2 linked regions of the Cricetulus griseus genome follow. The protein of the gene in region 2 interacts with the protein of the main gene of each other region in a pairwise test. Links are inferred from orthologs where the notes say so. Each region holds a gene or a part of one and is shown on either strand. Other genes may lie near its edges.

Region 1 (4,097 bases), on a different chromosome or scaffold from region 2:
ACACACACACACACACTTAAACATATGCATTGTACACACATACATGCACACATATACATAACACACATATACATGTTAACATACAAACAAACATGCACTTTGACACGCACACATTCATGCTGCGTCCACACATTGCAAACATAAATGCATTCGCACACATACACATGTACCCACACATGCACTCACACACACAATGAACACTTATGCTCTGCCACTATGTCACTCTTATCACAGCCTCTCGAGGGTGCCCGTTTGTGGCCTTGGTGGCCCTCCCTGATGCCTGGCCATGTCTTCCTGAGATGGGGTCCTTGTTCCCTCAGGCGCCCCAGCTCCTGGGAGAGGTCACCTTCAGCTCAGAAGAGGATTCTCATGTCCCTGTTGTAGCCTGTCCTTTCACCTCACACTACCTGTCTCAGGCTACAATGATGGCAGCTGTCTCTTCGTGTAACAGGAGCTCCATGGGGCTCCCTCCTCCTGGATGTGTGTGCTCTTGACTCACAGTGAGAGTGAGTGACACCCCGACGGGACTAACTCTAAGGCCCCTGTAATTACTGTCCCTCTAGCCAGGACAGCCTATGGTGGTCAGGGTCAGTCCTCTGTTCCAAGATCAGGGCAGAAATACTGACTTGTTTTTACCCTGTTCCGAGGAAGGCTAGAGTACTGTCTCTAAGCCAGGGCCTCAGTTTCCCCAGCAGTATAATCAGAATCACTGACTCTTGCAGCTTCAGTTGGGGCTAATACCCTCTATGAACCAAAGTGGACACAGGGCCTGCAGAAGACCACTGCTAATTGGTCTTTGGGGCTTTGTCACAGTGCTGAGGGGACAAGTGTGGGGTATACCTCCCAGCATGTCTTTCCATGATAAGTTTGTCTGCCAGCATCAACGGAGACATTGAACCAGTCTCCAGAGCAAAGCAGGAGTGGTGTGAACTGGGACAGTCGTCAGGACTTCCTGGAGGAGGTGACATAGAAGCTAGTGTCACAGCTGGTTTGAGCAGGTACAGAGAAAGGGAGAGCAGGGTCAGACAGTTTGGGGCAGCCTTGGGACTAGAGGTGGGACAGACCCAGAGGCAGGGTTATAAGTTCATGAGGTGCAGGCAGACCAGGAGGAAAGTAAGGTGGGTAATGGTCCCTGTGCTGTCCTGAGTGACCTTGTCTGAGAAGGATGAGGTCGATGGACGACACAGGGCAGTTACCTGTCTCCCTCCAGCTCACACACGTGCTGCACTATGGAGGACCAGTCGTAGGCCCCGGGCTCCTTCTTCAACCATTTCTGCAGCTCCTGCAGGTTCTGTGGAGTGTAGTCGCTGACGATGATCTCCCGGAAGGCCTCACATGCGGAAAGCAGCTGGTAAATGGTGGGGCCAGAGCCAATGTCAATCAGGAGATCGCCCCTTACACTTCCTGTGGAGACAGAATGGGCAGGTCCTGCTGAGAGCATGGAACTCCAAGCCTCATTAGGATGTGCCATCTGAGAAGGGCAGTAGCCTCTTGCCTCTGGTTGACAGGAGTGGGGAGCAAAGCTAGGACTGGGGTATAGCTAGCATTCTCAAAACCCTCCCAGGAAATTAGTGGAAGCACATCTGACCTTCTGGATAGACTTAGGATTGATTGCTGGTAGGTTGACACTGGCTTATCTCTAAGAACAGTGGATTTAGAAAACTGGAGATATCGACAGAGTGACAGGGTCTGGGATAAAGGTTGAGAAGGAATCCAGTGTGTTCTTAAGAGCCCTTCAGGTATACTAGAAAAGATAGCCATGTATCAGAAGACAAGGGCAGCACCAGGGTATCACCTTTAAGCCCCGCCCCTTCCCTTCTGCAGTCCCCTCTTACACCTGCTATGCCCCTGCCAAGCATCAGTGCCTGTACTCTGCCCAGCTTTCTCCAGGAGCATGTATCCTCCCTTCCTCTGTATTCTGAGGGAGCCCCTTGCCACACCTTCCTTAGCACAGAATGTCTAGTTAAGAAGGCCCCTTTTTCCCTTGGGGGGGGGCTGTGGTGTTGCTAAACAACCTCCAGGATCTCACAGAGCATACTCTCCTAGTACTGAGAAGTCTGAACTATTATACTTTATTCTTGCTGGTCTAATGGCTCTCCCTCTCCCTTCCCACAGTGCTAACCTTTAGTCTCCCCCACCTTAGATGTCGGGGGAAAATTCTGGACGCTTGTTTACATGTATGTTTGTGTGTATAAGAATTTTCATCAGATTTCCAGAGAATGCAATGTCCCAGAAATTCTAGAGAGCTCTCTGAAAGGCCTCTGCCAGAGGAGGAGGGTGGAGCAGCTTTGGTGCTCAGGCTCATTTTGTCACTTCTCCCAGAAGTGTCCTAGAAGCTCCACAAATCTGGGGGTACAAGTGAGGCATTCTACAAGTGAGGCAACTGAAGCTGACCATGGCTGCAAGCTCTCAAGGCATGGCTCCTCTGGACCCACACACATTGCCATCTGTGGGCTGCCAGGCTGGCCACCGCTGTAGCATCTGTATATACAGAATGAGCTCTTCACATTGGTACTGCTCCAGCCCCTCCCCCAGGGGACCTTAGCCACTCACCCGAAGAGAAGGTCTGGTAGAGGTTCTGCAGGCTAAACTTTATGATTTCCTTTTCTGCCACTGGGCCCGAGTCGAAGTTGTAGTAGGTGGCCAGGTAGTCTCGGGGGTCAAACTCTTGTTCATAGTCCTCACCTCCCTTGTATACTTTGCCCTCCATTCTGGTTAGCCCACTGCAGCTGTCTGTACTCCTCTTGCCTCTGCAGAGTGCCCATTCCCTCCCACCACACCTTTTATAGCCTCTTTTAATAGGCCTCCCTCTTCAGGGAGGAGCTAGGGTCCCGGTGGATGTTATCAGAGCGCTGGTGTCAGATTCCTGGCTCGATATGGTTTTTGTGATGAAGCATGAGAATGCTAGAGTCCTGTGTTATCATCGCCCCACCCGCTCCTGTCCTGGGACAGTCTCATCACTAGTTCCCCAGGGTGGTGTGGCTGGAGGCAGTATTGCAGGGAGAGGGAGAGGGAGAGAATTACACAGGGACCAAGAGAAAGTCAGAGCAGAGAGATCAAGGTCTGCTCAGGGATGCTTCTTCACTCTTGTGGTTGAGAGTAGAGGGTGGGGACTCAGGACCAGGTCCCCTGGCCAACACATTCAACACCCTGGGCTTCGTTTCTGCAACTGCAAACAAAACAAGAAGCAGAGCAGAAGTGCTCCTTGGGATGGGGATGTGGGACCTGAGATTGTCAAAATTTTTCCACTGCACTCAGTGAATTTGCATTTGCAAGCAGCTTGTCTTTAACTGAGTTAATGATTCCCTGGAGATTTTAATCTTGTTTTCTCACTTGGCTTAATGTTTTATTTTTTATTAGCTCAGGAGTAAACTTTGATAGCACCTCCCTAAATCACCAGGCCTGTGTTGGCCAAGCACTGTATTTGGACGAACAATTGAAAAAGTGCTGACATGCAGGAGAAGGTATCATCACGCTGCTTAGAGCTTCACACACCCAGGAACACGTGTGTGCACATGGGCACATTGCCCCTCCTGGCCCAAGATCACTAGCTTTCATGGGTCTGGTGTGATCTGGTCTGGTTGCTTTGAAAGATGATGCCCAGTCTGCTTTCTGTTGCTATAGTAAACACTATGACCAAAAGCAACTTGGGAAGGAAAGGATTTTTTTGACTTATACTTCCTGATCAGTCCATCTTCTATGAAAGTCGGGGACAGGAACTCAAGCAGGACCAGGGGGAGACCTTGAAGGAACACTGCTTACTGGCTTGCTCAGCCTGCTTTCTTATACAACCCAGGACTATTGGCCAAAAGGTGGCATGACCCACAGGGCCATGGGCCCTCCCATATCAATCATTAATCAAGAAAACCCCCACAGACCAGCATGATGGGGGCCATTCCTCACTTCCTAGGTGATTGGTTTGAGTTAGGTTGGCAGGGCTGCTACCACAAAGGGAAAGGGAAAGTTGATAAAGGATAGATACACTCTTACACCGTTGCAGGGATTCTGCAATGATCACAAGATGAAAAAAAAAAAAAAAGAAAGAAAGAAGAAAAGAAAAGAAAAAGCTTGCCCCATCTCTTTCTAAAAGTCATCTA
Region 2 (3,647 bases):
GTGCTTAGCTGTGGGTCTCTGCTTCTGCTTCTATCAGCTACTGGGTAAAGGCTCTATGATAGCATTTAAGGTAGTCGTCAATCTCATTATAGGGGAAGGGCATTTAAGGCAGCCTCTCCACTACTGCTTAGATTCTTAGTTGGGGTCATCCTTGTGGATCCCTAGAGATTTCCCGAGCACCAGATTTCTTGCTAAACCCATAATGGCTCTGTCCTTTTCTTGCCCTGCTTCTCTATTCTTCCCACAACTCAACCTTCCTGATTCCTCATGTTCTCCTCCCTCTTCTCCTTCTCCCCTCTTCTTCCTTTTACCTCCCTTCCCCTCCCCCCAGTGCTCCCAATTTGCTCGGGAGATCTTGTCCCTTTCCCCTTCTCCGGGGATCAATCCACGTATGTCTCTTTTAGGGTCCTCCTTGTTTCCTAGCTTCTTTGGGGTTGTGGGTTGTTTTTTGTTTTTTAAGATTTATTTATTAGGTATAGTGTTCTGCCTGCATGTATGTGTGCAGGCCAGAAGAGGGCACAAGGTATCATTACAAATGGTTGTGAGCTACCATGTGGTTGCTGGGAATTGAACTCAGAACTTTTGGAAGAGCAGGCAGTGCACTGAGCCATCGCTCCAGCCCCTCCATCTTACTTTTGAGACAGGATCTCTCACTGAGACTCAGAATCTGCCTGTCTCTGCCTTAAGGCCTGGAATCACAGGTACATATCAATATTTTGAAGAACCATCAAACAGCTGAGTTGTATCCTGATAGACTTTTCCCCCCCACTTTTGTGTTTGCTTTTGGTTTTGTTTTTGATGTGTAGGATGTCATAACACAGCCTAGAGCAGCTCTAGCTCAGACAGTTAACAGAAGAGCCTTTTACAATGATCTGCATGTTCTTTTTCCATCCAGATGTACTCTGAGGGTAGATGAGTGGAATGTGGTAATCTTGGAGGAGGCTGTAACTATAAACCTCAGAGTCCTATTATCATGAAATTGACTATTTCTATTTTAGCCACACATGGTGGCAAATGCATGTAATCTCAGCCCTCAGAAGTCTGGGGCAAGAGGGTAGCAATAACTTCAGGGACAGCTTGGGCTACAAACTGAAAACCAGGCCAGCCACACTACAGCATATGGGTGGTGGGCGGAGAGGACAGAGAAGAGATAATGTTTTATCATAAAGGCACATAGACACTAGTGGTAAGTTTATGAAATACTTTTATATTCTGTTCTCTAAAACATCTATGTTGGTTTTAATATGAAATCAGGTTGGTAATTATTCTCTAGAAAATTTTGATATTCTACTGTTCACTACTAGGGATACAACCAACTGCCCACTCTATTTGCAGATTTACAAATACATGACATACTTGGTATATACAAATCAAATAAAATAGATGGTAATTTAAACATTTTTTATAAAATTATTTTACGTTTATGAGTGTTTTGCATGCATGTATGACTATGCCTTATGTGTGTGTGCCTGTTGCCTATGGAGGTCAGGAAATGGCATCAGTCCCCTGGAACTGGTGTTATGGATGATTGTGAACTTCCTTGGGTGCTGGGAATTGAACCCAGGTCCTCTGGAAGAGCAGCTAGTAATACTCTTCACCACTGAGCTATTTGTCCAGCCCCAGACTATTGTTTTTAAACGATGTATATTTAATTAGTACCAGTGTCCATTTGAGTTCTTAGGCTTAGATTCTGTCTTTACATTGTGGAATTAAAAGTACCATTCTTTTCTGCCTTATGAATTTTCAGCTTTCAGAGAAGGGGAAGCCATATGTTGACATTCAAGGTTTAACTGCTTCTACCATGGAAATCCTGTTGGACTTTGTGTACACAGAAACAGTACACGTGACAGTGGAGAATGTTCAAGAACTGCTCCCAGCAGCCTGTCTACTTCAGCTGAAAGGTACAGTTGAGAAAAGGTATCCTTGTTCCTGACACATCAGCCCTGGAAGTGGTTTTCATGATGTAAAATTAATCAAGACTTTCAGAGGCCCATCTAGAAGCATGACTTTTGAATCTCTGAGCATGGAAGTCAGGTGTATTTAAGAGCAATGCAAAAGACTCTCCAAATATGAGTATTTGGCTCTTGGAAAAGAAAATGTTTAAACTTTTTCTATTTTTGAGAATATGGAAGGACCAGGTGTGATGACTAACACTAGTTATCCCAGCACTTAGGAAGCTGAGACAGGAGGATTGTGTGAGTTTCAAGCCAACTTAGTCTACAAAATGAGATTTATGTCTCAAAACCAAGCCAAAGGGCTGAAGAGATGCCTCTATGGTTAAGGGCATGGACTGCTTGCTCTTCAGGAGGACCTGTGTTTGAGTCCCAGCACCCACTTGGTGGCTTACAACTATTGGTAACTTCGTTTCCAGGGAACCTGATGCCCTCTTCTGGGCACCAGGTAAGAAAATGGTGTACAGACACACATGTATGCAAAGCACCCACACATAAGATAATTAAGCAAAACAGAAGAATGGAAAATACAGGGATGTCCTTAATACATACATGCAAGCATACTTGCATAGTACTCATGTAAGAATTGCCAAGAAACTGATAGTGTTCATTTCCTGCAGAGATACTGTCCACTTATTTACCTTGTCATTAGGTGGCTATGGGCATGGAGAGGCTAAGAGGACTCTTCATATAAACCATTTTATATCTTTAAGTCTTTGAATCATGTGAAATATCTTTTTTAAATTTTATTTAGTTTATTTTTATTTTTTATGCGTATAAGTGTTATGCTGGAAAGTAGGACCTTTGGTGGCCACAGAGGTCAAATGTCAGAGCCCCTGGAACTGGAGTTATAGGCAGTTGTGAGCTGCTTTCTGGATGCTGGGAACCGAACATAGATTATCTTCAAGAGTGACAAATGCTTTTAATGGCTGAACCGTCTCTCCAGTCCCCTTGTTTGTTTTTGGGTTTTTTTGAGACAGGGTCTCATTATGTAACTCTGACTGCCTCAAATTCTAGCATAGCCACCTGCCTCTGCTTCCCAATACTATAATTAAAGGCATGTGCCACCATGCCTGACTTAAAATACTTATTAGAAATAAAATTTACCTAGCACTTGTGAAAGAGAGGCAACATGGGCTATATAGGTAGACCATGTCTCAAAAAAAGTAAATAAAATAAAATTTAAATCGATGTATAATAGTTAAAATATAATTTTCACTGCATTAGAGATGGCCTCCCTTCCAGTTTCTAGTCTATTTTTATGTGTGTGTGTGTGTGTGTGTGTGTGTGTGTGTGTGTGTGTGTGTGTACTTTTTCTTTGTTTTGGTTTACACTGTATAGAAAAAAACTGGCCCTGAGCTGTATCCCAGGTGTTCCTAATTCTATCTTCTTGCCTCAGCCTCTTGAGTACTAGGATTGCAATTGTGGTCAAGGACTAGCCAGTCTGTTTCTTTTAACCGCCATTTATGTATATCCACATAAATGAAACATTCTTGCTGTTGTTTTGTTTTGTTTTAGATGAGTCTCACTGTGTAGTCCACGCTGTCCTTGAGTTACTGATCCTTTGTATTCTTCTGAGTGCTGGGATTACAGGAACAAACCATTATATCCAGTCTACATTCTCCACTTGTAATATAGATTTAAGTAAAATGAAACACAATTTATATTTTATAAACAGAGTTATAAAATTAAGAA

What was found.
Region 1: the proteins of Klhl12 (region 2) and Inmt interact in binary tests that used the Homo sapiens proteins (3 or more experiments, as listed by UniProt). The two-hybrid records come from large-scale screens. The link is inferred for Cricetulus griseus from reciprocal best matches to the Homo sapiens genes KLHL12 and INMT.

The regions. Positions count from the first base shown.
Region 1 is NC_048601.1:86,142,252-86,146,348, reverse strand, and holds the start of Inmt (indolethylamine N-methyltransferase), read right to left. Parts: upstream 2,934-4,097; 5' UTR 2,711-2,933; coding exon 2,554-2,710; intron 1,405-2,553; coding exon 1,197-1,404; intron 1-1,196. UniProt on the Homo sapiens protein: Functions as a thioether S-methyltransferase and is active with a variety of thioethers and the corresponding selenium and tellurium compounds, including 3-methylthiopropionaldehyde, dimethyl selenide, dimethyl telluride, 2-methylthioethylamine, 2-methylthioethanol, methyl-n-propyl sulfide and diethyl sulfide.
Region 2 is NC_048598.1:54,777,652-54,781,298, reverse strand, and holds part of Klhl12 (kelch-like protein 12), read left to right. Parts: intron 1-1,747; coding exon 1,748-1,901; intron 1,902-3,647. UniProt on the Homo sapiens protein: Substrate-specific adapter of a BCR (BTB-CUL3-RBX1) E3 ubiquitin ligase complex that acts as a negative regulator of Wnt signaling pathway and ER-Golgi transport.